Linked DNA regions of Caenorhabditis elegans. The protein of the gene in region 2 purifies or fractionates together with the protein of the main gene of each other region. This does not show direct contact. Each region holds a gene or a part of one and is shown on either strand. Other genes may lie near its edges. The genes, in order: C27D8.2 and F40E10.5.

Region 1 (15,860 bases), on a different chromosome or scaffold from region 2:
AAAGGAATTTTCAATTTTTACACTTATATTCGGCACATTAATACTGTTTTCTGTCATTTTTTTTGCGAAAAAAAGCTCACAGACGAACGAACAATCTTTGGTAACCTGTTGTTACAGGCTATCTGTTCCGCCAGATGTTCAAAGCTTTTTTTCTGATTTTTCTTTCTTTTCTTCACTCTCTCTTCGCTTTTGTTCAATAGAAACCGTCGTGTAAACCACGCACACATTTTATAGCCGTAACGGCAATAATATGTATGTGGATTTTATTTACGAAGAAAGATTCAGTGTACCTCCGCCAGTTTGTGCCAAAATCCTCATTTTGAATGATGAACATGTGCGCGGCATATGTTTCTCTATTTGCTAAGCAACTTTTGTGAATAATACCAATTGAAATCGGAGAGATTTTCTATGAAAACTCGATTAAAACTCGAATTTTAATTTTTGATAAAAACAATTGTCGTGAAATAAGATGCCGCGTACGCAATGCACATTGCGTACCTGGCAATGGATATCACGCGCATTCGCATGAAATTTTTCTTCAAATTTTTCCCATTTTCGCGCTGAACTCTTTGAAATTCGAGATTTTTCAATAGTCTTTTGCTTTAAAATATAAAAAGTAAGTTGTCATTTTTATTAATTTTTCAATTTTTTCAGCAAACCGCACTTTTCGGACCAATTGCCACACGTAACAGCATCAGAAGAGGAACAATGAGAGGAACTGGACTTCCATCACCGCCATCAGTTCGAGTTTCGACACAAAACCATCAGAATCAGCAGAGAACATCTAGTTTCGATGAGAGCAGTAGCGGAGGAGAAGAAGGTGGCAGCATTTCACCAGATTTGGGACATAAGTGAGTAAAATCTGAAACTTTTTGTGGAATTTTCATTTTATCTTCAGGAATTTTGAATCGCCACTCCCGTCGTCTACTGAAAACGTACATCCTGCATCGAATTCACCGCCAATGAAACAAATTGAAGGATTTGAGTTTAAGGTAGCCAATATTTTTTTTGTTGCAAATCTTCATTGTTCTTAAATAAATGATTTTCAGACACCAACACGAGCACGCAGCGCACTCAGTTCACCGATGAGCAATTTCATGAACGGCGGAGACAACGATTCACCGATTTCTCGTCCGGCTTCACGTTTGATGCAACGTCTGGAACAGAAGGGCACAATTCGCAGAGATGATGAAATTATTTCACAAGAGATTCGCCGCGTCGCAGAGACGAATCTCTCACGATCACCGTCTCTGGCGTCACTTCGTGGTTCAATGTCGAATTTGGCTTTTCGTGCGAGTCAACTGAATCTGGCTGGTACTTCTGGAGAATTGCCGCCAAATCTCACTAAATTCGCGAGCGTGGTACGGTGGTTTGAGCGATGATTAGTGGCTCAGGACTTTTTGCTGCTTGTGTAGACTCAAAATGAGAGCGGACCGAAATTTCGAAAAATTGAGCTATTTTTAGCTTAAATCTCCAGTTTTGTCAATGTTCCCGTGTCACAGCTACTGGAAATTGACTTATATTGAGTTACCATCTCTTATTGCATACTCTAACCATCTATCTCACATTATCTAGTTTATTACGGTACTTTTTAAGCCGATAGGTAACCAATTTCGATAATTTTTGGTTACCTATCGGCTTTAAATGCGCCTTAATCAACGAGGTAATGTGAGATGAATCATAATTTTTAAAAGTTTTTAAAGAGAATTTCCTATCGCTGCGACACTGAAAAGCTAACAGAATTTCAAATTCTAGCTAACATTAGTGTTTTTTGTTGGAATTTTTACGAAATTTGTTCATTTGAGCACCTTTTTGAGTCAGTAAAAGCAAAAAATCTAGAATCGTTAGTCCTCCTTTAAACTTTTTGAATGTTAAATTCCTTAAATCTCCATTTTTCAGAACTCACCAGCACGTCAATCACTGTCATCAATGAAAAAGACTACGGATCGTCAAGCTGCAGTTCTTGAACGTCTTGGACGTCTCCGCGAATCACTTCATGCCGGCAAGAACTACACACCGCCACGCAACGGAATCTCATCATCATCACGTATCACAACTCCCGCTCAGACTCCGCCAATCTCACCGCGCCCTGTTATGTAGACGTGGAACATTTTGTAATAAAGTGCCTTTTCCCCTTTTTAGTCCCCTTCCTATCATTCTGAGCCATTCCTCTTCCCTTCATCATCCGATTGTCATGCTTTACCCGTTTTGCATTGTTCATTTCCATTTTTTTTTCCCTTCTTTTTCCCATTTTCTAGACGGTAATTTCACTTTCAGCCCCCCCCCCCCCACTCCTGATTATTTTGTTCTATCCAATAGACGTGACAATTGTTTTTCTTAAAATTACGGATACCCTGCTGAAAAGCCCCACCAAACTTTTCGAAAAACCACCCAATCTCCATGTCAAAATATAAATACAATCAAATATATTGTGAATAAAGCATTCCAAGGTTTAAAATATGCTGGATGGTATTTGTTTATTGTTAATTGAACAGGAAATTATTTGGATTTTGAGAAGATTTTCATGGATCAAAGAGGATATTTTTAGGAAAAAAACGAATAAATGAGTGAAATTCGATGGGGAATATTAGAAAACAAATGGAGATATTATAAGGTAAGTAAGAGGAATTAAATATAATAATTTCACAGAAAATTCCAAATTTTCAGCCACTCGCATTTTCATCGTCCAATTTTCTTGTGGAATTTCTGATTTTTATCCATGTTTACTTGCTCGCCGCGTGGCTTGCTCTTCGTGAAGCTTGGTTTGACAGGGGATTTCATATTTATGTTAGTGTGGAAATTATTTTAATTTAAAAATATTCAATTTTCAATTTAAAATCTTTCCAGAAACTGAAAAACGAGCTCTTCTCCTCTCGATTATGGACGCACAAAAGTAAAAATCGCCGGAAGATGCTTGTGATCGGCGCGGATGGAACTATTGGAAAGCGGGTGCGATATTTTACATTGCTCTCCTGCATGGAAACGCGCTCCACGGCGAAATTTAAACTCCCCGCCCCAAAACGTTGGGTCTCGTTAGGTATTTGGCGGCAAAAACCGGAAATTCCAACTTTTTCAATTAGCTTCGCCATTTTTCAAGAATTTTTTGTTTGAGAAATTTTTTTCAATTTTTTAAATAATTTTAATAACGAAATGATGGTTGAAATTTTGTATTTTTTCATCAATTTTGGTATAAACTCATTAAAAAGAGATGTGCTCAAAAATTGGGCGAAAACGACGAAACTAATTGGAAACGTTTGAAAATTCGGCTTTGCCGCCAAAAACCTAACGAGACCCAACTGTTGGAGGCGGAACGTTACCATGGAGCGCCTTAAAAAAACCTGCATAACAACTGAAATCCTCAAATTTATCGATCGGTTTCAGATAATCGAAATTCTTCAAACAAATACGGATTTTGAGTGCCACGTGGTTGTTCATCATCATGCGTCACCAATTCAACCATTTCAAAACGATTTGAACACGGTGATCTACTCGGTTGATTTGAAACATCATGAACAGGTGCGGGCGAAGTTTCTCGATTTTTCATGGTCTCGCCACGAAAGAAATATTTTCAAATGAAAGCTCCACAAAAAAGATTGTGCCTTTAAAAAGTACAGTAACCCACAATCTGTTATTTCTCAAAAGATTTCGATTTTTTAAATTAAAAACAATATATTTAAAGACAATAAATAAACAAAAAAAACAATATTTTTCCGAAAAGCCAAAAATTCAAAACAGAAAATTGTCAAATTTTGCAACAATTTCTTTTTCAGATTCTCCTTCTCGCCAATCAACTCAAATCCCATCAATTCGACGTGGCAATATTCGCTGCAGGAATCATGTTAGCACCGGAATCCCGAACGAAAGATGGCGTCGAACTTCACAATGCAGTTAACGTAATCGGACAAGTAATGCTCTACGAGCTTCTACAAAATGAATGCAAACGAGCAATATTTCTATCGTCTGCCACAGCGAGAATGGCTTGTTACTCTTTGGATTCCAATTTTTTGAAAGTTTACGCAGGACCATATCAAGCATATGCATCTTCAAAGCTGAATCTAGCTGTTTATGTGAATGAAGTTGCCAAGAAAAGGTTAGATATTTGAGCAGGGAATAGGTATTTTCCTATAACACTTTTTATATACCCAAGTAGTCAAGTAGTCCGGAAAAACTACCAAAAAACCTGTGAGACTGGAATTTTTGAAGTTTCAAGTTGTTTTTTCTAGCAATATTCGGGAAAATTATCAGAAACTTCTGAAACTATTAAATTGGTCTATAAATGGTTTAGATTTACTTTTAAAAGATTTTGAAACGCTTAAAAATTAAAAATTATCGAGAAAAAAAAATTTGAAAATTTTCAAGAAAAAATTTGAAAATTTCTAAAAAATATTGTTTTCAAAAATTGAATTTTTCAGATATTACGCGTACACAAAATTCTGAGAATGCGTATTGCGCCACTTTTTGGCGCGCAAAATATCTCGTAGCGAAAACTACAGTAACCCTTTAAAAGACTACTGTAGCGCTGGTGTCGATTTACGGAAATTATTTATTAATCGATAAAATATTTTGGAAGAAAACACAAAAATGGCCAACAAAAAACAAATGAAAACAATGGAAAATTGAAAAGAAAATCGAGTGCTCCCGTAAATCTACGCAAGCTCTACAGTAGCCATTTGAAAGGATTACTGTAGTTTTCGCGACGAGATATTTTGAGCGTCAAGTATGTTGTGCAATATGCATTCTCAAAATTTTGTGCTTTCTGTAATTATTTTTCGGTTTTTTTGTTGAAATTTATGGTATTTCTGAATTAAAACAATCCAAATTTAAAAACTCCACCCAAAAATCAAGTTCAATTTTCCAGACGCGTCAATACAGTAAGTCTTCATCCTGGCACCGTGCCAGGCCGTCTCTATCAAAATGCAAATCCAATTGTTCGATATCTGAATGCCACACTGCTTCCAAAACTGATGAGAACCCCAGAAATGGCGGCTGTTCTCGTGCTTCACACGATTTTCCGAGACGACATCCAACCTGGAGCCTATTATGAAGATACTCAAATAGTGAATGTACCAGAATGGGTCCCGGCACGAGAACGTGAACGGATCTATGATACTATTCATCGACGCATCGATTTGTGGATGGAATGTTGATAAATTGCCAATTTTTAACTTATTTATTTCAATAAACGGAGAATTGAAAAATTGAAAACAAAAAAAACGAAACGAATCAAAAAAATATAACGAGATCACAGTTTTTTTTTTTGCAAAAGGCGGAGGAAGTTATTTGGTGGAAAAATGTGTTTTTTTGGCCAGCAAAATGAGAATAAAGTGCAGTTTTTTTGGAAAACTTTTGAAAAACTAAACGCGTAGAAAATGATTAGTGTGTGAAAAATCAAGATTTGAAGAATAATCTCCGTTATTCGTTAGATCATCCATTAAATCTTCGAAACTTCTATCCTGAGATGAGGGAGGACCTAATGTTGGAGAACGAATTGATGTGGTTGTTGGTGGAATTAGTGATGGATGGTGATGGGATTGATGATGATGTTGTTGTTGTTGATTTAGATTATTATTGGGTCTTGCAGCGGAGTACACTATTTCGCAGACCTGAAATATATACTGAGTAAGATTTTTTCCACAACACGTGGCGTCAGAATGCCCCATTTTGGTTTGATCTACGTAGATCTACAAAAAATGCGGGAGAAGAGACGCAGAGTTCTCAACTTATTTCGCATGGTTAAGAACGTGCTGACGTCACAATTTTTTGCGCAAAAAATTCCCGCATTTTTTGTAGATCAAACCGTAATGGGACAGCCTGGCACCAGGTGAAAACCGACTCACATCATGCGGAGTCTTTCCGTATTGTTTCATTAGAGCCTCCAATTGCATTTCGAATGATTGATCCATTGGTCCAGGTGTCATCATTGTTGGTGTTGTGTTTGTTGGTGATGACGTGGATGAAGATGATGACGTCATCATCATCATTGACATCAATGGGTCGTGATTTTGATTCTGATGGTATCGTTGGGGAAGATTCGGCGCAGTGAAAACACATTCCGATGGAGCATGAACCGAGGATGATGACGTCGGAAGATCGTGCGATTCGGAAGGTCGCGGTGATGGACGAGGTGTCTGATCACGGCAGGCAACAACCGCGACACGGAGAGGCGTGAATCTAGAATATTGGAAATGTTGAGATATTGAGATATTTGAGATATTTGAGATATTTGGAAAGAAATCAGTGGCTGAGTTTTTAAAGTTTCTAGGCCACGTCTCAAATTTGTTTTCACTCACTTGACATGTGTAACATGATTCAATGGTCCTTTATCAGTAATATTCGAAGCAACACCTCTAACTCTCTTCACATCATCTACTGGGAAATACTTTTCGATGACACTTGAAACTGGCATGTATTCCAAATTATAAGTGAGAAGATAGTCTATCTGAAATTATTGATTTTTCAATCTCAATTTCCAAAATTTGTATAAATAATTACCTTAGCTGTTTCAGCGATATCTGAAATATACTCCAGTATACTTTTCGCCTGAAGCTTCTTCAATTCGAGCGGCTCCAAATGTATGATTTCCCCGCAAAGGTTACGGTAGCTCACACAGACGCTTCCGCCGAGAATGTAGGTCAACCGAATCACCATACAGTTGTGACGTGGCATTAGCAAATTGACAACCGCCTGTGTATCCAGGAACCCATGCATCAGATAGTGTTCCCATAGCACCTTCACGGCTGCCTTGGGATCTTGAAATATTTGCAAAACCTCGAGAATTCCCCGCCATACGCTGAAGCGCATTTGCACGGTGTCCGTATCGAATCTCAGATGGGAGCACAAAATGTTCTTAAAACTAATGCAACCCTCATGGTTCTCCTCGTCCTCGAGCTCTGTCGAGTCATCCCCACACTGTTCACAATGCATTTTGTCCTGAAGCAGGGCGTAATCAGATTCCTCCATTGTACGGATAACTTCTCCATTCACCATGAAGTATCGACGAGTTAGATGTTTGAATTGGGACCATGTTAGCGCTGGAAATTCAGAAAATTTTTCAAAAAAAGCAGCTGATATTCCAAAATGGCTAAGTATGTATTATATACTTTTGATCTTACCACAGATAACGTGTAAGGACTAAAAAAGGAGACTAGCCGTGGTGTCTACTCTACAGCACTTCTACAGTAACCTCACAATTATCTAATTTTGCCTGAATTACAGGAGATTTATCGAATAATATTTTCAGATATCCGAAAACTTCTTACGTTTTTCATTCCAATTCAACAGCAATCCATTAATCCCGCATGTTCCATACATCCAAAAACACGTGGCAGTATACGAAGAGTTCATTCTCTGAACCTGACAATCCTGATTTCTTCGTGTGCTTATTGTGAATGGAAGAGAAAGCGTTCGAACATGAATGTAATTTCCCGTTGGTGACCACGTTTTCGCACGGATGTAGAAATAGAATAGTGGACGCTTTCCGGTTGTTCCAGCACGACTGTCAAGGAGCACTGCGTCCTGAAATGAGGTTGGGGATTTATTTTTGTCTATATTTTTTAAAGTTTATAGGAGAAATTTTGCAGCTCTTAAGATTTAGAAAATCAAAATACTATTGTCAAATTGATTTCAACCAACCTTCTGCCTTGTCGTGCACAACAAATGTGGATACGTTGTCTGCCACGCATTTGAATTATCACTGAATGTTGGTGGAATTGTCACGAATTCCTGACTATTCACATCTGATTTCTTGTGAGCTGTATTTCCACCGGTACCCTTTTGATTCGCCGTCGCATTATTCCTTTTAACTCCAGAAGTTGGTTTCATAGCAATCAAAGCTGCCGATGGGAAGACTTTGGGCTCTCGTGGACTACTATTTCCCATTCGACATTGAATTATTTCGTTTTGAATTGCGAATGCGGTCTCTTCACTTACTATTTGGATGTCAAATGATTCGAATATCAACGTCTGAAAATTTTTGCTATTTTGATAATAATTAAGCTCAATCAGCTAAATTCAGGCTTAGGCTTAGACCTAAGCATAAGCTGAAACTTAGGCCTAGGCTTAGGCTTAGGTATAAGCTAAGGGTTAGGTTCAGGCTCAGGCTCAGACATAATCTAATAAACAACATGACAATTTTCGTAAATGCAAGACTTACCCTACACAAGGTGTGACACGTGAAAGTGAACAGATTATTCGTGACCATAATTGACGAATGGTTTGGCTCATTACACATCAGAGCATCATTCATCACATATTCATAGGTAATAAAGACTTCATTCAACAACTGCCACAACGTATCAGGCGTTGCAAATGTATTCTGTGAGCATGTTTGACATTCATATCGGAATCCTTGAATTCTCACAGCGAGAAGACCCAACGTGTATGCCAGTGAAGAATAGTAACTCCGGATCTCATAAGTGTCTTGCTCGACTAGTTTTTCCTGATTTGATAGTCGATTGACTTGAGCTCTTCGGAGGCTTGAGTGAAATCCCGGAGCATTTTCAGCACAAGTCCTGCGGAATGCAGCGAGGCAAGGTTGGAGCTGGAAAAGATTATAATAATTTCTATCAATCAAGCTTGAGGAGTTATGTTTAAAATTACTTCAAGTTATCTTATATAACAAAAAAAATTTCTGGAATAAAATTATGAGAAACCAAACAAGGCCCGCACGTGATGTCAGAGTGTCCCGCAATTTTGTAGATCAAACCGTAATGGGACAGCCTGGCACCACGTGGGTCCGCTCAATTTTCAGTTTTTGTTTTAAAGCAAAACTTTACGTACCTGTCTGGTGAAATAAGCCCTCATCTTGATTTCAATATTACAATTTGGATTGTCCAGTTGCGAGTACAACCCATGTAAATAATGAAGTGAACTATTGTACAACTCATGAAATTGTGTCCACCATTGCTTCGCTTCAGGGCACACTTTTGGAATTCGCATCGGACGAGCAATGTTTACAAGACGAACGAGGATATGGTTGAAGCTTTGAGTAATATCTCGTTCGGGTTCTGATGGTAGACGAGACAAGCATGTCAATAGTCCCCAGGCAAGGATCACCCATTCGTTTTCGAATTCATCATCGGTTATGTCTGTTGATGGAAGTGCTGGAAGAAAAGAAAAATCGGCAATTGTCGGAATTGCCGATTGTCGGACATTTTCGGCAATTTGCAAACCTAATTATATTTTGGAAATTGAAAAAAATCACTTTTTTCATTCAAAATCCACCTTTTTTATAATTATTCGGGTAGATATTTTTCAAAAGAAAAAGACAAAGGATTAAATCATTTGGAGCTTTAACATAGAAAATTGTTTATTAAAATGCATGTTAAGGCTCCTAAATCTATTATACAAAAGTATCAAATTTATATTTCCGGCAATTTTGATTTACTGCAATCGGATATTCCGGCAATTGCCGGTTTTCCAAATTTCCGGCAATCGGCAATGTTGGCAATTGCCGCGTACCTCTGCCCGTAACCCCTTTTCTGAAATTTGTACAACTACTGATTGCAATTCTCTTCTTTATTAACAATCGACATGTGTATTAGAAATATCTGGGATCGTAAATCAAAACGCGTATCACTGTCAATTTTATCTCTGTCTTCGTTCCCCTTCTCTTTCTCTCTCTCTTCTCCTGTAATCTTATCTCATTTGTATCTTCTACCCAAATCATCGTCTACCCAAACAAGGATTCGGGCGCCCTCGCGCCCACGTGGGGGTCTTGCTTGGAAGATCAAAACTCAAATCTCACCTTCTATTCGTTTTTCTAGAATCTGTTCGATGTGATTTCGCAGGATACCAATGTTTGACTCGATGTTGGTCACTTCCTGAGCTGTTTGGGGGTCTTTGCTGAGCTGGATTAGCTGAGAACAGAGGGAAATTGGTCGTTTGAAAACGAAAATCCACTAGCGTGAGCCCCAAATGGTAGAATTTGCGACGTGGCCTAGAAATGTGCAAAACTTGGCCACCAAAAAATGTGTTATATAATTCTTTCTTTCAAAGTTTCGAGTATGCACAAAAAGCTTAGTTTTACCAGTGGCTGAGTTTTTGACACTTTCTAGACCACGTGCAATCTAAACCCCATTCTAAACGTAAAAAAACTTACCAACTCATAGACAATCTTCTGATAATGATCAATTGTAGAGAATGGGGAAATCGTTTTGTGTGGTGTTGTCATTCTAACATAGCCTGTAGAATTTTTTGTTTGTAAATTGAAAAAAATTATATTGTGAGAGAACGGAAATGCTATTTCGAATGTAGAAAAATAAAAAGAACCAATAGAGAAAAGTAAAAATATTTTTTGGAAAAGCTACAAAGCTCCCCTCTTTATCAGTAACAGTTGAAACAAAAAACAAGAAAAAAATAAATTGAGAAACTCAAAAATACTGAAGTACGAGTATGTTTCATTTACTGATGCAATAAGATTGTTGATGTGATATCTATTTGATGATAAAGAAAACGTTAGAAAACAATGAAAACTTTCTGGCTTTCTAAAAACATTTTCCAAGAGATTCGCAAATTGACAACACATTTTGCTCTTTTTTTGTAATTTCGAAAAATGTTCAACACACGTTTTTGGAAATTTTTTGGAAGTGGCAGAGCTGTGTACGAGACACATGTGTTGAAACACACATTGAAAAATGGAGGCCGGGGATAACCTCTTCCACGGTTATGCTTTGCAGCTCGTGTACTCCCCGAGGAGAAGATTTTCTTTATGTCTTTGCGAATTGATTGATTTTTGGCTATTTTTGGAAACATTTTTAGTATTCAACATCAAAAAAGTAGTAGCTCAGAAAAAGGCTTTTGTACTTACTATTCAAAACCTATCGAGGGATATATTGGTAATTTTAATTATGAACCCAAAAAAATTACCGAAAGGCAACATTTTTTTTTCTACAAAAATTGTAAAAATTCTTTGTAAAAAAGGCACAAGGAAATTAGTAAGGAAATTTTTTTTAAAGCAAAAATTGCAGGAGGTTCAAGGACATTTAAAACTTAAAGAGTCAAGAAATGGGAGGAGTCAATTTGCGGGCTTTTAGAAGGGTTACTTGTTTTTTCACACAATTTTCATCTTAATCAATTTTTTTTATTTTTCACAAAAAATTTAAATTTAATTCCCGTGAAATGATTTTTGAAACACGTTGAAATTATATTATCTTAAGTTTCATCTACCACGTTCCACAGAAAAAAAATCAATAGAGAATGTCATTTGGAAAATTCAATCATTCCTATTTTACTTGCTTTCGCAAAATCGACGATTTTGAAGGGTCACTCAAATGGAAACAGATAAAAAGTCGTCGTGAGTTTTTGGGTCTCACAGCGAAGTCTGTAACTTTTTGATAAGTTTAAATTCTTCCAGCGATTCGAAAAAGAAAAAAGTTGGACTTCCGAAGCTAAAGTCTTCGGAATCGGATAACAATGTGATATCGAAAAAGGCAAAGAAGAAGGATGCGACCGGTGGTGGGAAGGTAAGAGAGAGTTTTAATAAAATGCTGCTGGTGCATGGATATACCTATGCCTAAGCCTAAGACTATTTTCGTAATTTTTTTGTTGTTTTTAGGTTGTCCGCCTTCTCGGCAATCGTACGGTCTACCATCTTCCCGTCGAGGAACTTGCTCGCTGCTCTCAGCTGGTCAAGCAACAGCAAACCGCCGGAAACCCGATGTCAACGGTCGACTTGCACCGCTTCAGCGATCAATCGATAATGGCTTTCGTGAATTATGTGCAGAACCAGGAGATCAAGTCCGATCTGACATACTATGCGATCACCGAGCTGGTCACGCTGGCGCACACCTTCCAGATGAAGGAGTTGAAGATGTATCTGGAAGATGTAAGAACCTACATACAATCATCTAAATATTCCTGGTTAAAAATAAATATTAAATTTCAGAGCATAGTCGAAGCGGCCAAGTCCTCCGAAGCAGATCTTCTCCAGACGATGATCGTCTGCGACGTGGCCCATGTCAACCCGGACACTGAAAAATCTCTGCAAAACTTTGCCATCGAAAGCATTGAGAAGCTTGTAGCTCTTCCAGATTTTCACAAAGTTCCGTTCCACCAACTTTATCAAATCCTGTCAAGCTGCGAACTGGTGGTCACACACGAGATGTTTGTGGCCGATGTGATCCTTCTATGGCTGAATGGGCAAAATCATGTGAACGCTTTTGCGCCATCGTTGTTGTCCTGTGTAAGTGATGTAGCTAGATTACTGTAGATTGATTTTTCTCATTTTTCAGATTCGCACAAAATTCCTGAGCCCCGTCGATCGCACCATCATCATTGAACGCATGAACCAGCTGAACATGCCCACGAAGCTAGTCCGTTTGGCCACCAAAATGCTCGAATCGACGAACAATCAACGTGTCTGTCTGGACCCTGGTCATATTAAGAAGAACTTGGGGAGGTAAGAGCGTTAGCGGGCTCCAATGAGCTCAACTTACTCTAATTTTTTTTCATTCCAGATGTGGAGCAAACATGAACACAGCTCCATTTAATGCTCATTCGTCTCTTCCTCTCAGTCGGCCAGCGTTCAATATGAAGATGAAAAAGTGCAAGGAGCCGAAAGCCAAGCCAACTTTTGATGTGAGCTTCCTCTTTTTTAAAAATATATTCTTGTTTCTATTTAGCCAGCCACTGCTCAACGAGTCATTGATCTGATCAACACCGACCCGAAAACTGTGAAAACCGAACGTAGTGTCGAGAAAAACAAGTTCAAGAAGAAGCAGAAGGAGGAGAAAAAGGCGAAGAAACAGATATCGAAGAGCACGAAGAAAAAGTCAAAGTGTGCTTGTATAGAGTACGTCAAGAACAAGCTCACTGAGAAAAAGAAGAAAAATCCATTCAAGGATCCGAATGCTGTGAAGGTTAAGCCGCCTGGAACGAATAGCAAGTAAGATTCAAAAAATGCATATTATCAACTCCCCCAATTTTCTTTCAGAATATCCGAAACAAGCACCAAATCCACAGCGGTCATCTCCAAAATGTCTTCTCTATCGAAAATCCAGCCCACTTCAACTCTTGAGAAAAACCTGCACAAACGAAGAACCGGCAAGCGTACCAAGATCCAAGGAGCTATCAAGCTTTCCAAATCACAGTCGGAACAGAACATTAGTAGCTCGAAGAGCAAATCGGCATCACGCAGTGGAAGCAGAAGCAAGAGATCGGAGAATAGTACTAGAAGTGGAGTCTGAAGAGCCACTGGAAAATGAATTTGAAATTCTTGAAATGTTTTTTTTTGTTGCGAAATTAGATATTCTGGAATAAGCTCGCGGGCCTCCCCTCATCCCTCTGTCGCCTCTCGCACGAAATACGTTTCTAAAATATACGAGGATGAAAGTTTAGAGCTCAAAGAGGGCGGATAATGAGGCGCCCCTCTACGCCTCGGCCTGGTTGAATACCTACTCCTGATACTTATACAAAATATATTAACTAATAGGATAAGTAAAGACAATTGACTGATTATGAAAAGAGTTGAATGAGTAAACATTGCCTTTGAACTATGATTTCTAGTGATAAATTAGATAAATTATGATAGATGTCTGCGATTTTTTTTTAAATTTCAGAATAATTCAAAAGTTGAACGGAATTTTAAGAAAGCGGCGGACATTATGCGGGACTCTTCTAGACTACGACTGACCGTTTTAAGGCACTATTTGATGAAATTCACTTTTTTTCTAATTTCTACTCACCGCTTCAAGTAATCAGTATATGCTCGACGGAATTCGTTTTTAAGAATTGTAAAAACTGACAGTTTTGACAGCCACACGTTGTCCCCCCTCTCGGCCTGACCAATAAGTTTCAGTTTTATCAAAAGTGATAAATGGTCAAATCAATCGATTGAAAAATGACAAAAAAATGATACCAAAAAATTGAAATTTGAGTTGTTAACGAAAAACAAGTTGTGATAGAAAATGTAGATTCTATTTTGGGATGTGGGAGGTCACTGTAGGTGCCAACTATGACGAGGCCCAGTTTTTCAGAACAACAGCCTGTTTGATACAGAACATGGCAAATTATTTAAAAAACGATTCAAAAAATGTTTAAAAGAGCCAATATATGGGCGGAGCCTATTATATACGTTTTCTTGCACCCTACATCTCTTGGATTTATCTGTGTATTTTGCATAAAATCAACATCGCTTTTGACGCAAAACCAATCTAAAAATAATTCAAAATGATAAATTTTTAGAACTAAAATTTAATTTTAAAAAATCAATAATAGGCTCTGCCCACAACTTGGTTTATTCTTGTGTGATTTGAATTCACAAATATAGATATTGGAAAATCAAAATAATTGAATAATTGTTGAACAACTAAGAGGGAAGAAAAACGAAAACGATATATATTTCTCCCTTGGTAAGAGAAAAGATTCCCCCTAACTGGAATTCATGATGCATTTGATGAGACAAAAAGACGAAAAAATGAAATAGCACTGTAAATCAAGAGGGTCCAGAGATGATAACAATGATAAGAGAGTGTCCAAATGATACTGTAGTTCAATGAGAGAGAGAGGAGGAAAAATGATATAATGATAGTGATTTTAAGGGGGACTGCAACGGGCGCAAAATTGGTGGGACAAAATAAGAGAAATTGTCTTCTGAATATCTGTTTCTTTTGATTTCTTGGTTACTGTGTTGCCACGTGACTTGCAAGTTAGAGATCGAGAGACAGAGAGACACAAAGGTCATAGAAGGGGTGGTCTCTGTTGTAGTTATAGTTATCAGCTGGTTGTCATCAGAAGAAAGGGGCAGAAGATGACAAGAAACCACGAGGATGCACCTTTGTGTGAGAAAAGAGAGTAAATTAAAATGGCGTGTGTGTGTGCCATGTAATTACAGACAAAATGGCGTGGAATTTCAAGTGGTCAATAAAAATGGAAACATCTAGAAACGGAGTGGGCTGATATGGAAATGACCAAAATTCACCAGTGCAACCTCTTGCCTGCCTAGCTCTTGCCTAGCTCATGCCTATCCAATGCCTATCTCATGCATGCCTCGTGCCTAACATATGCCTATATCCCGCCTATCGCCCTACATGCCTACCCATGCCTGCCTAGCTCATGACTTCGTTGCGCCTACGTCTAGCTGCCTACTTTCCTACTTTCCTATCTAATGCCTGCTTTTTTAAAAATTTTAATGGCTGCTTTTGTGCTTACTTAGTTTTAGATTTTTTGTCAAAATACCAACAAAAAAAACAAAAAAGTCCCAGCCCTGCCTACCACCTACCTACCTAACGCCCGCCTGCCTGCCTATCTCCATTTACACGTGAACTCAGTGTTCTTCCGGATTTTTTCAGACGAAAGAAATTTAATTTTTGGATTTTCCGGAAAATCGGGAAAAAGTCTTCTGAATGAAAAATCTCCTAAAATCACCCAACTTTAAACTGAATAATTTTAGAATTTTTTAAACAACTTGGGACATTTCCAAAATTTATTTCACAGTCTTAGGAAAGATTTTTTTTCAGTAAAAATTGCATTCTAAAATTAATTCAAAAATCCTTTTGTGATTACAGAAATATTTAAGGCACTACACAAAAATTTGTACCGAAAAAAATTTCGAGAAACAAACAAGTTCAAAAATTTCCATAAAAATCAAACTTATGTTTTCTTTCAAAAATCTGATTTTTAAAATCTACCTGCCTCACTTTGTGATAAAATCAGACTTGTGAGGTCTACCTTGAGTTAAAGGCCAAACTACATTTTTCTCTGAAACGGAAACTTTTTTAATTGGTATCCACTATGCGGGAAAATAGTATCGAGAAAAGTGAATAAAAAACTAATTTTATTCGAATTTTATAACCACGCGCACGTCGTCCGCCACCCGCAACAGAAAACTGATCAGGGTCATTGGAGAGTTTTCATCAGATTTC
Region 2 (15,860 bases):
CCCCCCCCCCCTCTCACATACGCCGCTCGTCATCTCAGCTGCCTATCGATCGACCGAAGCGGTGCAACCGCGCTCTATGGGCAACAGAAGAGGGATGCTGCTGCCGGGTACGTCCATGCTTTCTTCTGCCCGACGCCGCGCACTCGTCTTCTTCTAGATCGCCTGCCACTGCTTCTTTCTGCCTTCTATTTCATTCCTTCTCCCGTTATTTACTAAAAGAGAAAAAGATAGAGATAGAGCGAGAGAGAGAGCAGTGCGCATTGCCTTTTCTCCACTATGTATTTCCTTTTTTTGCCTCGAGGCCCTTCACTGTGCCACGTGTACATTTTGATCGTTAGTCATTGTTTTAAAAAGAGGCGTCGTCTAATGTGAGAAACAAAAACCGATGACATCTCATTCCACAATGTCATTAGGCTGGATAGGAATGACTATTGGGCGACAAAACTGGATTCTTCCTTATGCGATTCTGTTTCTTTTTCCTTCCGTTTTCCTACTATTCAATTGCTTTTTAATTTCTCACTTACTCAGGCTTTATCTATTTGTACCCAGCACCAATTTTTGCATAAAAATCAAAAATCCCACGTTCGAAAAGTTTCTCTTTGAAAAATGCAATGTTAACAAGACAACCGCGATAAAAAACTATTTGAGTATAGGGAGAAGCGTGGTTTGTAGTTTTTTTTAATTTCGAAATAACTATGAGGGAAGGAAAATGTTATATATATATATATATATATATATATATATATATATATATATATATATATATATATATATATATATATATAGCATTATAAGTCACAATTTTCAATTTTCAGCTTATCAGAAAAAAATTGCGGTTAGGTTTTAATTTGCACATTGCAGCGGTTTATTTTTCAAATATTTTCCGGTTTTGAAAGTGGCTATTGATCTTGCCCACGCAATTCCGTTGTCTTATTTTGTCTATCATTCCTCTATTAGCATTGTTTCAAAAATTAACCATTTAAAAATAGTATTGGCAACCTCAAATGTTTGGTTCATAAAATCCTTTATCATATCGGTGAAATTTGGGAAACAAGTAATAACATATAGGAAAGAAATTTAAACTCGGACAATTCTTATATATCAGTCGTGAATTTTTTTTTCAGTGTGTCGAAAAATTTAGTATTTTAGGTCTTGCTAATAAAAATAATAGGATGTTTGAAATGTTCAAATTTCCAATTACTGGTTCTGTCGGCCAAATACCCTTTTAGTTCCCCTGTCCCAAGTACAGAAGTGGCAAAGTTCTTTTCCCTTATCAATGGACAGGTTTTCGTCTACTGTCACACTGATCGATATTTGATTGACGTGATATTGACTCATTGGTTTGGTTTCAAGCAATCTATTTGTTTACTTGATTCTAACCATCTGTCATTCTATTTCTCCCTCTTCTTTGCGTTTTTTTTGCCATTCCATTCGCCATTCTTATTTCAATTTCCATTCCACTTTTTTTGTGTCTCCTTCCTCTTTTTTCTTGACGTTTTCTTTTTATATTTCCAATCAACTTTTGGTGCAACTATTTCGCAAGAGCATCTACCCAATTTCCCAGAGTTAATTAAATCATCCTTGTTTTACAGAAATGTGCTAGTATGACCATCAACGGCACAGAGGGAACCACATTCATCCGGTCGGCGTCCGCACAGGGGCTCGCCGGCCTCTGCACTTGGGCTGCTCTTCTTATAACCAGTCATCAAGTAGGTGGAATTTGAATTTGGAAATCTAGTTGGAAAATTTAAAAATTATGAAAAATATGTTATGTTGAGCAGTGTTGTGCTATTTCAAAACAATCAAAAGAAATATGAAAATATACAATTATCTAAATTACAGATCTACCAACACCTCCGGTTTTACTCATGTCCAGCAGAACAGCGTTGGATTGTTCGAATTCTATTCATCGTGCCAATTTATGCCTTCGACTCGTGGCTATCTCTCATCTTCTTCTCTGACAACGTCTACATTTACTTCAACTCAATTCGCGACTGCTATGAAGCCTTCGTGATCTACTCCTTCTTGTCCCTCTGCTATGAGTACCTGGGTGGTGAAAGCAACATCATGGCCGAGATTCGTGGAAAGCCGATTCGTCCGACCAACTATCTAACGTGCACCTGCTGCTTGGCCGGCAAGCAGTACACGATCGAGTTCCTTCGATTCTGCAAGCAGGTGAGAAACGGGAATGCTTAGAAGTAAAATATTCAAGGCGGCATTTGGGAAAACATGAAAAACAAAGGAATTTGTTTGACCCGAAAAATTTGCATTTAGGGTAGCCCATTTGTCAATCTACTGTCAATCCAATTGTTTTCCGTGGGTAATGTTTGAAAATGTCACAATGGCGGTTTAATGAGATTCAGTATTTAACCAAGAGTGGTTAATCTTTCATTTCAGAATCGAAATTATTTTTTTTGACAAATTGATTTTTAAAAGCACTGTTAGAGCATTTCATAAATCGTTTTTTTGCAGCGCTCAAAATGTCCTTGAAACATTTTAAAAAACTTTTTTTCAGGCAACTCTCCAATTCTGCTTCATCAAACCAATCATGGCTGTCATCACACTGATGCTGACTGCAATTGGAAAGTACGAGGATGGCAACTGGAGCCTCGATCAAGGATACATCTACATCACGCTGGTCTATAACGTCTCTATCTCGCTCGCCCTCTACGGAATGTTCCTGTTTTATGCAGCAACTCGCGACCTTCTCAGCCCATATCGCCCGGTTCTCAAGTTCTTGACTGTCAAGAGTGTCATCTTCTTGTCTTTCTGGCAGGGTAAGTGTACAACAGTTTTTTGATTTTTGACTTAATTCAAATCTTTAGGATTCCTCATTGCTATTCTCGGAGCCACTTCTGCGATCGACCCGATTTACGATGCCGAAGGAAGAGAAGTGATCGGACGTGGAACAGTCGCCGCTGGATGGCAAAACTTCTTCATTTGCATTGAAATGTTCTTCGCCGCAATTGCTCTTCGTTTCGCTTTCAATGTTTCCGCCTACGCCGATGCCCACAACGGTTGGTAAAAATATGAATTTTGCGGAGGTTAACCTATCATTAACTATGAAAGTCAAAAAATTCTTGGAAATTCTGATACCATTTGAATTTCTGACATAGTTTGAAAATGTTAAAGGTCATTGTATATCCTATTTAAGTAGAGCTCCCGCCGCAACGCCGCAACAGCGCCTCCGCCGGCCGCACGGCGTCACTCAAACCGAATGTATAGTGCGGCGCGGTACCCCAACGTGTCGGTCGCTTCAAAACAACCACTTTTTCGCACTACGTTGTGCACAAATTAAGATACGCTTTTCACGCTAAGCTGCGGAACCCCGAAAGTGTCGGTCGCTTCAAATAACTAAATATCGCACTTCATTTCACACACGCGCGGCGTCGGTGTGAGGCCCGCATTTGGCGCCTCACTCAGCTGGGATTCCTAATCCTAAGATGTCAAGAAAATAAGTGTTAATAGTATACTCTGAGTACTTCTACAAATAATTAATAAACCATTTTAAAAAAACGTGATTACAGGTTTACAAGCTACTCTAAATCTTTCAAATTGTCTAAATTTCAGCTAGCAACGCCAACGATGGCCGCCCAGTCACCCTCCAATCGATCAGCTCATCTCTCAAGGAAACCATGAATCCCAAAGATATTATGCAGGATGCGATTCACAATTTCCACCCTCAATACCAACAATACACTCAAGTTTGTAACTTTGACTGAATCCGCTCTCCAAAACTAATTTACTTTCAGCACTCCAACGCTCAACGACCGGTCAGTACAGGTTTCTAAATGCTTATCGTTTAATATTTATATATACCGCTTCCCCTTTTCTTTTTTTTTTGTTTGTGTTTTGTGAATATATGTGACGTTCCAAAATCTTTCCAAAGTTCAAACCCTATTAGACTATGTGTGTGAACTATTGATTTTTCCAATTTTCAATTAAAAATTTCAAATACTTTTAAACAAAATTCTTGATTTATTATACAATGTATGGGTGACGGGAAGCATTATTTATTTGGGATTGCATGACGATGGTGATTGGTTCAATTAAAAATTGTTAGATATTTATAGAATTTTTCAAAAAGTATCACATGTTTCAACTTTCAGCAACAACCCGGGACTAGCACCAGCACTGAAGAACAACGAATGTCGAAGGGTGGTGCCGCAACGAATTACTCAACAATGGTGGAGAGCGGCACCAATGATAGCTCATCATCAGCTCCGGCTCAAGCCACCGGCAACCTTCTCGACGCATAGTTATTTATTCGTACACCTCTCTCTCTCTCTCACAAAACATAAGGCATCTTTAACACAATTTTTCTTGCAAAATCAACTCCAACAGCTCCCGATTCCCTGTCCACATGTAATGGTTTGAAAATGTATTTATTAATTTTTTTAAAATTTTACAATTAAAAACAAAATTTTTTGTTCTATTTTAAAAATAATGCTCTAAAGAGAACACAAAAATGTTACGCAACTTCCCATGAGCCAGAATTATTTTTTGTAAACTTTCAGATGATCTGCGTACCATGTGGATTCTGTCATATCGCTCTTTCCCCCTTCAAGAATCTCAATCATCGCATTCACCTGTCCAATATACTTATGCTCTTCATTTTTTTTTTAAATTTAATGGTGATTTTCATTTTCCTGTATCCATGTTCTTTATCTATCGCATTTTATATATATATATTTTTTTTCTAATGACTATAGATTATTGAGGTTCGAATAAAGCGTTCTGTTAATAATAATCACAAATGGAGTTTTTGATAGAAATTTTTTATTGATATCGTAATTTACAGGAATGATTTTGAGAAAAGCATATAGAAAAAACACTGCCAATAAATTAAACTCTGCGAATTGAACTCGAATAATACTTTCGACAATTCCAAATTTGAATAAATTAGGGTACACAACTCAAAATAAAGCTTTAAGCCAGGAAAGAGCACTGGTCTTCATTGTTAAGCTCCTCTGGGGTCTGAGAGTAAAGGAAGGCTGAGAATTCCTTTTCTTTGGTTTCTTCGGCAATGATGGCAGCGGCAGTGGTGGTGGTAGATTGCTCGGTCTGAAAATAAATTTTAAACTAAATATTATGACAACAAAACTTTCAAAAACTCACGGTAGAAGAAACAGCTTCCGGCATAGTTGGAGCTTCGGTCGTGGTAGTTGTGGTGGTAGTGGTGGTAGTTGTAGTAGTGGTAGCTTCAACTTCCTTATCCTTGGAGGAAATGAACATTTTCTTAAGCTCATCGCGGATTTCCTTGGAAAGTCCTGCCAAGAACTTCTTTTCCTAAACCAATACTCTTTAAATTCAGTTATAAGAAATCGTTTCAAAATTTACATTCAAACGGAGCTCCTTCCATTCTTCGAAGGCTTTTCTGGCATCTGGAGAAAGCTCGGAAAGTCTTCTAGCGACCTCTACCTTTCTTGTCTTGAGCTCCTCCTCCCATTTGTTGAACAGAGCAAGCTGTAATGCACTTTTTGATGAAAGTTTGTCAATGAAAGTAATTATTGCCCAAAAACAAGGGAACACTAAACTTACAGATTCTCCAGTGAGAAGAGAATAAGCCAACTTCTGAAGGGCGAGCTCCTTCTCAACAACGCTAAGTTTATAGTCGAACCAGACGTTCTTGAACTCCTCTCTCACAGTGGATGACACGTTTTTCAAGAAGGATGGTCCACATCTCCCAGCGAAAACTTTGTCTCGTTCCTCGGTGGTGAGGCCACGGATGATGTTTCTGGAAATTTTCGCTTTACAAATGTTTTATACATTTTGGTTCAATGCGAATGTCCGATTTCACAGAGTTATTTTTAACAGAGGGTGCCATATAATGATAAGGACACAACTTAAATTCAATAATTGGTCTCAGTTATCAAGGTTTTACAAGCTCACGATTTTTTGAAAGTAGTGTTAAAGGATTAAAAAAAATAATTATAGGACGATCCGTTCTTCAAGTGCTATGTACTGCGGGCTGGGAGGATTCTGCCTGGTGGTGATCCCACTGGTCTATTTTTTAAGCCACGTCCTAGCCAGGGACTGTGGCCTATAATCCAGTCGTGGATTGCTCCACCTCCCAATAGAGGCTGGGTAAACCTAGGGGGGTCAGGCCGAACTTGAACTCTACCTCCAGATTGCTAGCGGCCACCACTACCGGCTGAGCTAAAATGCCCCTGGGATGTTATTTCTAAAACTCTTAAATTCTTCCAAGCAAAAACAATGATAATTTGACAACTTGATCCGATTATTTCGATTACAGTACTTTTCTAACTTTTTTAAAAACTTTTCCTACCAACTAAAAAATTTAATCTCACCTTGTCTCTTCATGTTCCTTTTCGCAAGTATTTCCCTCCACATATTTTTCCCAAATCTTGGTAATCTTCTCAGCTGCCTCGGATGGGAGTTCATTTATGAATTTTGGAATTCCACATGGTTTTGTCTTAAAATCAGATAACAAAATCATACAGTAAACTTGGAAACAATCTTACTCTCTTGTGCCATGGGCCTAATGGGTTAAAAGGATCGGAGTGACGAGGTGGAAATGCCAAAACAATACAGGGAAGGAAAATGGCTAATATTAAAGTTTGCATTGTTGGTAGTGATAAGAAGAAACTAGGAAAAGTTTTTGAAGAAATATGAAAAGTGAGAGGCTATCCGTCTTCTTCTTCTCCATCTCAACAAGGCTCTTTTATAGTGCAACAACAGTCGGCGGTGACTAAAAAACGGATTTTTGTCTGCGCCATCTACGCAATCCTCACTATTTTTAGCCGGCCTCCCTGCCGCGCCTCCGTAACCGCCTCCAATAGCAATGTCCGCAAATGTGCGCGAATAAACGCGAACGAATTTAACTAAGACAAACATTTGGAGCAGACGAGCCGGTCACGACCCACAGGCAAAAGATTGCGGACGACAGTGTGCAAAGGGCGCGCTTGGCTTGGCAAGCGGTCAGACAGAGTGGGCAAGCTGGTTTCTTTGACCGGACAAGTGTGGGAAACGAATAAGCGGCCTGTTTGTTGGTAACAAAGGAATGCCCGGATGGCAATGTTCCGACTGTTTTTTTTTTAATTGAAGGGAAATGAGTTTTGCTCAAGACTATAAGCGTGATAAGGTCAAGACACATTTCGATTTAAAAAATTGAAAAAAGAAATAGAAAAGGTGACATGGCTTGATAGAACAATCGAAAAATTACCATCACATTTCGTAAAGTTTTTCCTAGATATTCAGAAATAAATTTTATTTCAAACGGAAATTGTATAACTTTCACGGTTTGGACTTTCACGGCACGGTCACAGTATATGACTGTTTCAGTACGTCTAGAACAAAGGTAGTTTCATGGAGCATATCAGAAGCGAATATGTGCAACTTTTTTGAATGAATCTAGTATTATCAATTTTCAAAATTGGCGAAGAGAATAAACACGTATTTTTTTTCTTACTAAACTTTGATCGTGTGATTTTGGAACAATTTTTTAAATTAAAAATATTCAAGCTGATATTTTATTAAATCCAACTATTTATCAAATTTTGAAAAACATCAGAATACACGATAACAAAAGTTTTGTATGAAGAAAACTGGAAATAGCCTTCAATATATTTTTAGGGGCAATTAAAATTTTTTGTAATTTCCGGTTTTAGCTTAAAACACGACTCCGATGATGAACTCCAAAACTGAATATGTTTATGAAAAAAAATTATTTATTGGTTTTTTCTCGATTACATAATTTAAGCATGAACACTGTACATATTAAACACAAAACTAAAAAATTGAAATTTGAATCAGATTACAAATATAACATCCAATAGATTCTCAAGTCGAATTTTGTATAATATTTGGGAGATATTAGCTCAGTCGGCAGTGGTGACCGCTAGCAATCTAGAGGTCACGTGTTCAAGTTCGGCCTCACTCTTTAGGTTCACCCAGCCTCTATTGGAAAGTGGAGCAATTCACGACTGGATTATTGGCCATAGTTCCAGCCAGGACTTGGCTTAAATTATAGCTCAGTGGGAGCCCCACCAGACAGCGTACCTGGCTCCCAGATTCGCAGTGCATAGCGGTTAAAAAACAGATTGTTCTTAAGTTTTTTTTAAAATCAGACCAATGTAATTTCAAAATGATAGAAAAACGCATTTACACTTGCTGATTCCAGATATGTCAATAGTCAACAAGAGGAGTTATCATGGCTTTTTGCCCACATTTTTTTAACAGGGATCACACTGAAAAATGATAGTAACGTCCAGCTCCCACAAAATGATCAAATATCACGTTCAATGTTTCTTTGATCTTTAAACGTGTGTTCTGGCCAATCCTAGAGAAACCTTGACCCACCATGGCCCGCATCCTTTAATAATCTCAAAGAGATATCAGAAAAATGAGTAATAATGAGGGTGTTTACCGTATATTATACCACGGCATAGTCCCGATAAGATTTCTGGATGGGATAAGACATCTCGTCTGGCAACAACTCCAAATTTCTGTCATTCGAACGCGATGGTTTCCTACTGGCCGGTGCTGATCGTTCTGTGCCTTCTTCCAATTTGTCATGCTGTGAGTTGTGTTTCTTTTGTTCTTAATAAAAAACAATATTGTTTCAGAAAAGCTATTTTGCCGACTTCGTTAATGGAAAGGGACCTTTCAAACAAGCAGATGCCCTAAAATTCATGGACAAAATGACCATTTTGAACAAACTTCAAGCTGATATTCTTGGCATTCCACAACCCGATGAATTTTCAGCGTTGGATTTTGAAGACAAAATTGAAAGCAAACCCGATGAAATTCCGTATCTTTTCGAAGGAGACATGGTACTTACCGATGAACAAATGGATTTGATTATTAAAAACGTCCGTGATCAATACTGGGCTCGCAAATCTTCAACTAATGAATTCCTCTACGCAATTCGTGGAAAGAGATCAATGACTTCATTCTTGTCAGAACGTTGGTCATTCCCAGTGCCATACTATATTGATACATCATCAGGAGGTGACTAATATAATTAAGCATATTGTCATAATATTGATTTTCAGTAAACACGAATGCGGTTCTGGCCGGAGTAGCAAAATGGGAGCAGGAAACGTGCGCAAGATTCACAAGATTGAATAGTTATAGTTCCTCGTCGAGGCAAAATGCCTTAAGATTCATATCTGGCAACGGGTGAGTGAATTGTAATTCAAAAACAGTTAATCTTTGTTAAGATTACTATTTTAATAATGCAAATATTTAAAATTCAGCAATTTTTTAACTGTAGGAATTAATGCAGTTATCTCAAATGCAAATTTTATTTTTTGAAAAATGTTCCACTTGGAATTACGGACAGTTCAAGCAGGTTATATATGATTCTCTCCGATTCAAATTTTGAAGATTGAAAATAGTGACTTTTCACAGATTTTGGTGTTGAAATGGAAATAACAAAAATAGATGACACACAAGGCATATATATTTTATTGTAAATTTGTTACATTTTTAGCGCAGTTTTTTAAAAATACTTTAAACACTAAAACAAAAATATTTGTTAACTGTGTAGGATTAATAGAGTTTTAAGTTTATAAAAGTTTATCTAAAAGCTGTAAAATTGTATTTCTAATTATAAATTAATCGAATAAATTCAAAAAAATCATAACAGTTTTGAGAAACGCTGAAATTTAGAAAAAATAATACTAAAAGTGAACAGTTAAAATTCGTATTTTCGCTTTCTGCCCTGACAATTTTTTTGTCCAAACGTACACATTTACATTCCGTGATTGGGAAAAAACTACAGGTGTTATTCGAATATTGGCAAGGTGAGCCGATTTCCTCAAGACGTGTCAATTGGATGGGGATGCACCTCGCTTGGAACAGTGTGCCATGAAATAGGTAAACGTCCCAAGCCAAAATAAATTGACACAACTCATTTTTCAGGTCACGCCCTTGGATTCTACCACGAACAAGCTCGTTACGATCGTGATGACTATGTTTCAATTCTCACCCAAAACATTCAAGACATGTATCTTTCTCAATTTACGAAACAGTCCGCATCTAGTATGGTAGACTACGGAGTTGGCTACGATTACGGATCTGTTATGCATTATGACCAGGCGGCGTTCTCCTCTACCGGCGGAAACACAATTGCTACACGTGATCCAAACTTTCAAGCAACTATTGGGCAGAGAGTCGCTCCATCTTTTGCAGATGTCAAGAGAATTAACTTTGCTTATTGTAATTGTAAGTTTTAAACTATCACATAACTGATTCTTAGTTTGAATTTTCAGCTACTTGTTCTAATTACCTCGACTGTCAAAATGGTGGGTACATCAATCCAAATGACTGTAACAACTGCAAATGTCCACCTGGTTTCGGTGGACAACTTTGTGATGTTGCCGGAACCAATAGTAATGGGTGTGGTGCAGGAGATATCACTGCGACAAGTTCCATTCAAACTATTTCTGCATCAGGTGCCTTGACTTGTAATTATGTTATCAAGGTGAGCAAATTGTATTTACCTCGAGATTTTGGAATAAGTGTGCTGATTTTTGAAGATTTTAGATTTATATTTTCGATCAATGTACACCAAAGTTGTAAGATATTAAATTTCGAACATAATAACGATGACAAAGCCGCTATGAGCTTGGCATTTGGCTCTAGCTTCTTGTCAAGTTTGGCTCAAATAATAGTCACTTGGATGAGAAGTTGGCCAAAGGTGGCCAAAGGCTGGGCTAAACTTGGATTCTGACTGCACCAAAGTTTAACCCAAGTGTCATCCAACTCTTGCCAAACGTTGGATCAAACTTTTCTTGGTTTTTTTAAAATAGGTCTTCCAAGAAGGCGCAACTCTAGCCCGACCGCTCCACACTACGCGAGGTCCCGCGCAGTGTCGGCCGCAGTACACAGAGTGTGATAATGTGGGCGCACAGGCGTGGTGTGCCCTTTTTTGCGCCTCGCCTTCGCGGAAGGCCTAGTTTCAAAATTGGGCAAGAGTTTGGTGAAACTTGGGTTAAACTTTGGCGCAACCTGAATCCAAGTTTTACCAAAGTTTTGCCCAAGTTTAGCCAGCTTCTGATCCAAGCTTTTTTTGGCCAAATTCGGACAAGAAGCTAGAGCCAAATGCCGAGTGATAAAATCAAAACGTCTGTAAACATAAAATATAAATAAATTCTTTAAAATTTACGATCAAAATTTTGTGGTCTTGTTAGAAAACACATCATTTTTACTTTTATTGGAACTGAAACAGTTCTAAACAGAATTTCGTTAAAAATCTTGAACTGACATCATTTCTTTCAGGCCCCAGTTGGCGCAAAAGTCTACTTCCAAATGACAGCTGCCACATTCTCCCGATACTCTCCATGCACCACCAACTACCTGGAAATCAACTACGGAAGAGATTTCAGCAGAGTTGGAGCACGATTCTGTGCATCTTATCCAACTATCTCCTTATCTGAAACCAATACTCTTGTTGTGATTTATAAAGGAGTAAACGGAGCGAGGTTCTCATTGAACTATCGTTATGATCCTGTAACTTTTTCAACATCTGCCCCAACAACCACTTCCACCACCACGACCACGGCTCCAATAACGGTTCCAACCGTTTCCCCAACTACAACTACTACCAGGCAAACCACAACTACCGCTCGCACATCTACAACAACCACCACTACCCAAGCTCCACCTACGACCACCACGTCAACATCGCAATGTGCATCCTGGTCGGCTTGTTCCGCACAATGTGGAGGATGTGGAACTCAATCGAGAAGGTGACTGAATGCGATTTATTCTGATACTTATTTTATGAATTACAGATGCGGTACCTACGTGGAAACTGTCTACTGTAACACCAACCCATGTACTGGAGGATATTGCTGCCGTCCGTTCTTCTACGTAACATCGTTCGGCACTGGATACTGTAGACGGCCAGGAGCAGATACACCAGCGGCTCCACAACGATATGTTGAGCAGAGAAAAGGCTAACTTTTAGATAATTTCTCAATGTTCTTTCAATACCAATCTCAACAGTATTTTGATCAATAACAATATTTAAAATTTTAATTTATCTAATAAATACCTTTTTTCATCTTATTTGCAAACTTTTTACCCTCAAAAATATTAAAATCTATCCAAAAAACTTTAAACGAAGACAATTTCTGGAATTCCAATCTGACGTAAGATCCGATTCTTTTTTCAGTAGTTTTTCAAGAATAATTTTCAAATCCTGTTTTTTATAAAATGACGCTATTTCTACATTTCCAAGAAAAGAGGAACCAAAGCCAAATTATAATAAGTGATATTCCCAAAGGATTATGTCAAGAATCCACGCCAAGAAGAATACATGATTCAATTTACAAATCTATTATATGACTCCCATCCGGCATCAGTCAAATCTAATAAAATGTAAGCTTTGGGGGCTTTTCAGTGGTTACGGTCATCAACACAATAGAAGTCAATTGCAACAATGTTGAGCATTCAACAATGTCAAAGTTCATAAAACCCTTTATTAAATCGTCTTGTAAACTTGGCTTTTATCAAAGATCGGAAGCAAAGTGGCAGTGAGAGAGAGAGCGGCGTGTGTTTGCAAATACCGTATGACAATGGCTAATGAAGTGTCATCATTTAATCGTATGTTTTATGCTAATGGATATCAAACAATATTATGGAAAAGTGGAGTGATATGTAGAAAATGTTTAGAATAAAATCGGCAAAACTAAACATATAATCTAAATTCAATTTTTTATGTGAATAAGAACCAAGAGGTACTTATGCAAACAATGTAAAAAATATTTAAAAAAGTCAGATGGGTGGCACCAATTGACCGGTCTCCTTTTTGTTACTAGCATAAATGAGTGGAGAAAAAACCACTATTTGTGCCTACTGTACTTAAAAAAAGGGTATCACCAGTTGGCAAACTTTTGGAATTATATTACTTTAAACAATTTAAAAGTGTGTGTTTTTTGAAAAAAAAATTTAATTTACAGTTTGCATGTCATAATTTTGAAAATCAGTAAAAAAACTTCTCCGAGTATTATTTTATGGTCAATTACTCAATTACTTATCTTAAAAAGTTTTAGGTCTTCGAACATGCATAAATGTTCCAAAAAGAAAACAACTACAAATTTTTCAAAAACTTTTTAGATGCTGACAAAAAACAGAAAAAGTTTAAAAATCTATTTGTAACTTTATTCATTTATTCATTTATTCTGAGTATGTTTTCGATTAAATTCCACAAAAATTGAAGCGAGTACCTGTTAAATACACACATTTTAAGTTATGAATTTCAGCCTTCAAAAGCTGTCTGGTAATTAAAAAAAATGTTGAAACAGTGTCCGGGGAAGAAAAAATGCACGATAGACAAGTTACGTACATGATCTTCTTTCCAACCTGTGCCAATACTTTAAGCTATGTCAGACTAGAACGGTTATCATTTTCTTTTTTTTCTGAATTTCAGGACAACATCTCAACAAACAAACAAAAGTGTTAGTGGCATCTCAACTTCATCTCAATTATAAACGCCAATGAAATCTATTCAAACAACAAATTGGCTTATAATCTGCACAAAACCTTCGCGCGAGCAATCATCAAATTAACTGTTTAATCCATCACAGCTCTTCTCCTCTTTATTAACTCGTGTCCTCCAGAAGTGTTCTGAAGTGCTGGTAGTGTGGTGGGTGCCTTCGGGCGGTGTGCTGGAGAAGTGAGAGAAGAGAGGGGGATGGAGGGGCCGAAAACGAAGTTATCGCAAATTTACATTGTAGAAAGGAACCATTTTCAAGCGTGCTGGACCTCGGATCCGCCAGCTTTGTCTTTCCCATTTTTCCCTTTCTTTTCTCAATTCTTGTAAAAATAATAGTTTTTGTCATGTGAAGTGTATTGTTTTTTGTGTGAGTAGCTAATGTTTACAGGAGAGGGGTACTGTAGAATTTCAAGGTACAGGGTGAGGTACGGAGGTAATGAGTACAGAGAAAATGTAGTCTAGAACGTGAAACATTACACATTTTCCAGTTAGAGGTACAATAAGGGACTCAGTTCTCATATACATATGCCTCATAACTCATATACATATGCTTGAAAATTAAAAATAGGATAACAGTATTTAAGCATGAGCATATGCCTTATAATGCTATAATTTCCAAATATCACTGTAAAACGTTTTATATATACACAGTCAAAAAGCTTTTACCTATCATAATTTTGAAGTCGACCAAAAAACTTTTTCACTAGGAGTAGTATATTTTAATTTTTTTCCAATTGTTTTTAATAGTAGTTCAAACAAGCGGCAATACTCTAAGTACCTTGAAGCCCAAATTTTTCATATATTAAACAATTTACCAAAATTTGATTGCAAAGTTTGTTAAATCTAAAGTTTTCAATTTTTTCCTATAACATTCAATCACGTTGGATTATCTTAAGTTTATCCATACTAAAGATACTCTACATATTTATTAAAATTTCAAATTGATTTTGAAAGTTTTGATACATCATTTAGGTATTTAAAAAATCTAGTTTTATAGATTTTATATATAAGTTTCTGAATACGTTCAGGTAACAATTTAAAAATTTGTTGAGCTCAAAAACATAATTGTGCTGGAAACCATAAAAATTTTGAAATGGATTTAAATTAAGGATTTAACACGTTTGCAATTTTTTGAAATTTCTTGCCTTGCGTCCCGTCCAACTCTGTTCGGAGAGGGGTCGGAAGTGAACAATCAACATTCTAAACAGAACACGAATTTACACATTTTCAACATTAAATATTGTGCCCCATCGTCCATCGTCAACCGTCACTTTTCACCTAACTTTCCTCTGTAAAAAGTTCGATCTAAAACATTGTATCATCCAAAGTATCAGCACGATGTGTTTGTTAGCACAGTGTCATATGATGTCGAATAAGAATTCATGGAAAAAAAAAACGTGTTTGGTTTTTCTTGTATTCGTTTTTGAAAATGCTCAAACTAGGTATTCAGTGTTCCGTTATTATTAGAAAAGTCGTTTTGCTTCACTGAACTAAACTAACTAGGAACTCTTGAATAACTTTTGAAATATTGAGAATTTGCAAAATTAGTTCACAGTTCATGCTTGACTTCATTCACCTTCCTACGAGTTCTTGCAATCATTATATCAGCGTAAGTTGCTATTTCAGTAGGGTCACATAGGAGCCATCTTGAGTATCAATTTCGATTACCGTATTTCCTCGCAACTCATTTTGGCTCCGCCTACTGTCTCTCGTCTATTTGTGCGCCGCCTCTTGTTGGCCACTGAGACGAGGGAGGACACGCATAATATAGCACGCGTCTGTCTCTCTTTCTTTTTTTTTTCGGAAATTTACCATTTCCTCATTCAGGTTTTCTTTTCTCTCTTACGTTTATTTTATGAGTAGGGTTTCCAGTTCTCGGTTTCTAGTTTCTTGTTTTCAAATTATTTCCAAAGTTTTCCCGAAATTATTTGTATTTGGTATTAATTTTTTCAAAAGTTTTGTTAGCATACATTGTCTTTCAGCGGTATGACTGACCTCTCTTGTCTGTATCCTTCACTTTTATGCACTGAAGCTGCAAAAACATCTTATGACGAAGACACAACGTCTGTTTCATCTGGTTTAAGCCCTCCGGGCTCTCCAGTCGATCTACAAAACTCGCTGGATCATGTGAAACGGCCGATGAATGCATTTATGGTTTGGAGCAGAGGACAGAGAAGGAAAATGGCACAGGTGCATTTTAAATATTTAAATTTTTTAGGTTATTATGTAAGTAAGTAATTTATTCAGGATAATCCAAAAATGCACAATTCCGAAATAAGTAAACGGTTGGGTGCAGAATGGAAACAGCTATCAGAGCAGGAAAAACGACCATTTATTGATGAAGCAAAACGGCTCAGAGCTTTACATATGAAGGTAGTTTAATTACATTTTT

Evidence for each region.
Region 1: the proteins of F40E10.5 (region 2) and C27D8.2 fractionate together in Caenorhabditis elegans (co-fractionation; one large-scale study listed by BioGRID). This does not show direct contact.

What each region holds. Positions count from the first base shown.
Region 1 is NC_003282.8:12,701,563-12,717,422, forward strand, and holds C27D8.2 (BACK domain-containing protein), read left to right. Parts: upstream 1-9,654; 5' UTR 9,655-9,745; coding exon of another isoform or gene 9,746-9,857; 5' UTR 9,858-10,099; coding exon of another isoform or gene 10,100-10,171; 5' UTR 10,172-11,270; coding exon 11,271-11,293; intron 11,294-11,353; coding exon 11,354-11,462; intron 11,463-11,554; coding exon 11,555-11,824; intron 11,825-11,884; coding exon 11,885-12,181; intron 12,182-12,230; coding exon 12,231-12,397; intron 12,398-12,455; coding exon 12,456-12,576; intron 12,577-12,620; coding exon 12,621-12,883; intron 12,884-12,931; coding exon 12,932-13,184; 3' UTR 13,185-13,220; downstream 13,221-15,860. Other genes in the region: T23B5.3 (C3H1-type domain-containing protein), read left to right, coding at 655-851, 899-992, 1,050-1,361, 1,900-2,100; C27D8.4 (NAD-dependent epimerase/dehydratase domain-containing protein), read left to right, coding at 2,564-2,614, 2,668-2,787, 2,848-2,949, 3,382-3,516, 3,771-4,090, 4,859-5,147; C27D8.3 (Integrase catalytic domain-containing protein), read right to left, coding at 5,355-5,603, 5,838-6,171, 6,291-6,439, 6,493-7,031, 7,260-7,515, 7,633-7,962, 8,153-8,539, 8,779-9,101 and 2 more.
Region 2 is NC_003284.9:14,692,590-14,708,449, reverse strand, and holds F40E10.5 (DUF148 domain-containing protein), read right to left. Parts: upstream 6,661-15,860; 5' UTR 6,588-6,660; coding exon 6,486-6,587; intron 6,437-6,485; coding exon 6,312-6,436; intron 5,954-6,311; exon of another isoform or gene 5,776-5,953; intron 5,738-5,775; coding exon 5,542-5,737; intron 5,467-5,541; coding exon 5,341-5,466; intron 5,290-5,340; coding exon 5,119-5,289; intron 5,065-5,118; coding exon 4,930-5,064; 3' UTR 4,762-4,929; downstream 1-4,761. Other genes in the region: tmem-184 (Transmembrane protein 184B), read left to right, coding at 1,605-1,709, 1,843-2,175, 2,516-2,777, 2,826-3,017, 3,571-3,704, 3,753-3,773, 4,110-4,259; hch-1 (Zinc metalloproteinase nas-34), read left to right, coding at 8,485-8,541, 8,589-8,973, 9,018-9,144, 9,749-9,843, 9,889-10,191, 10,239-10,450, 11,248-11,717, 11,763-11,931; Transcription factor sox-3, read left to right, coding at 15,455-15,658, 15,716-15,841.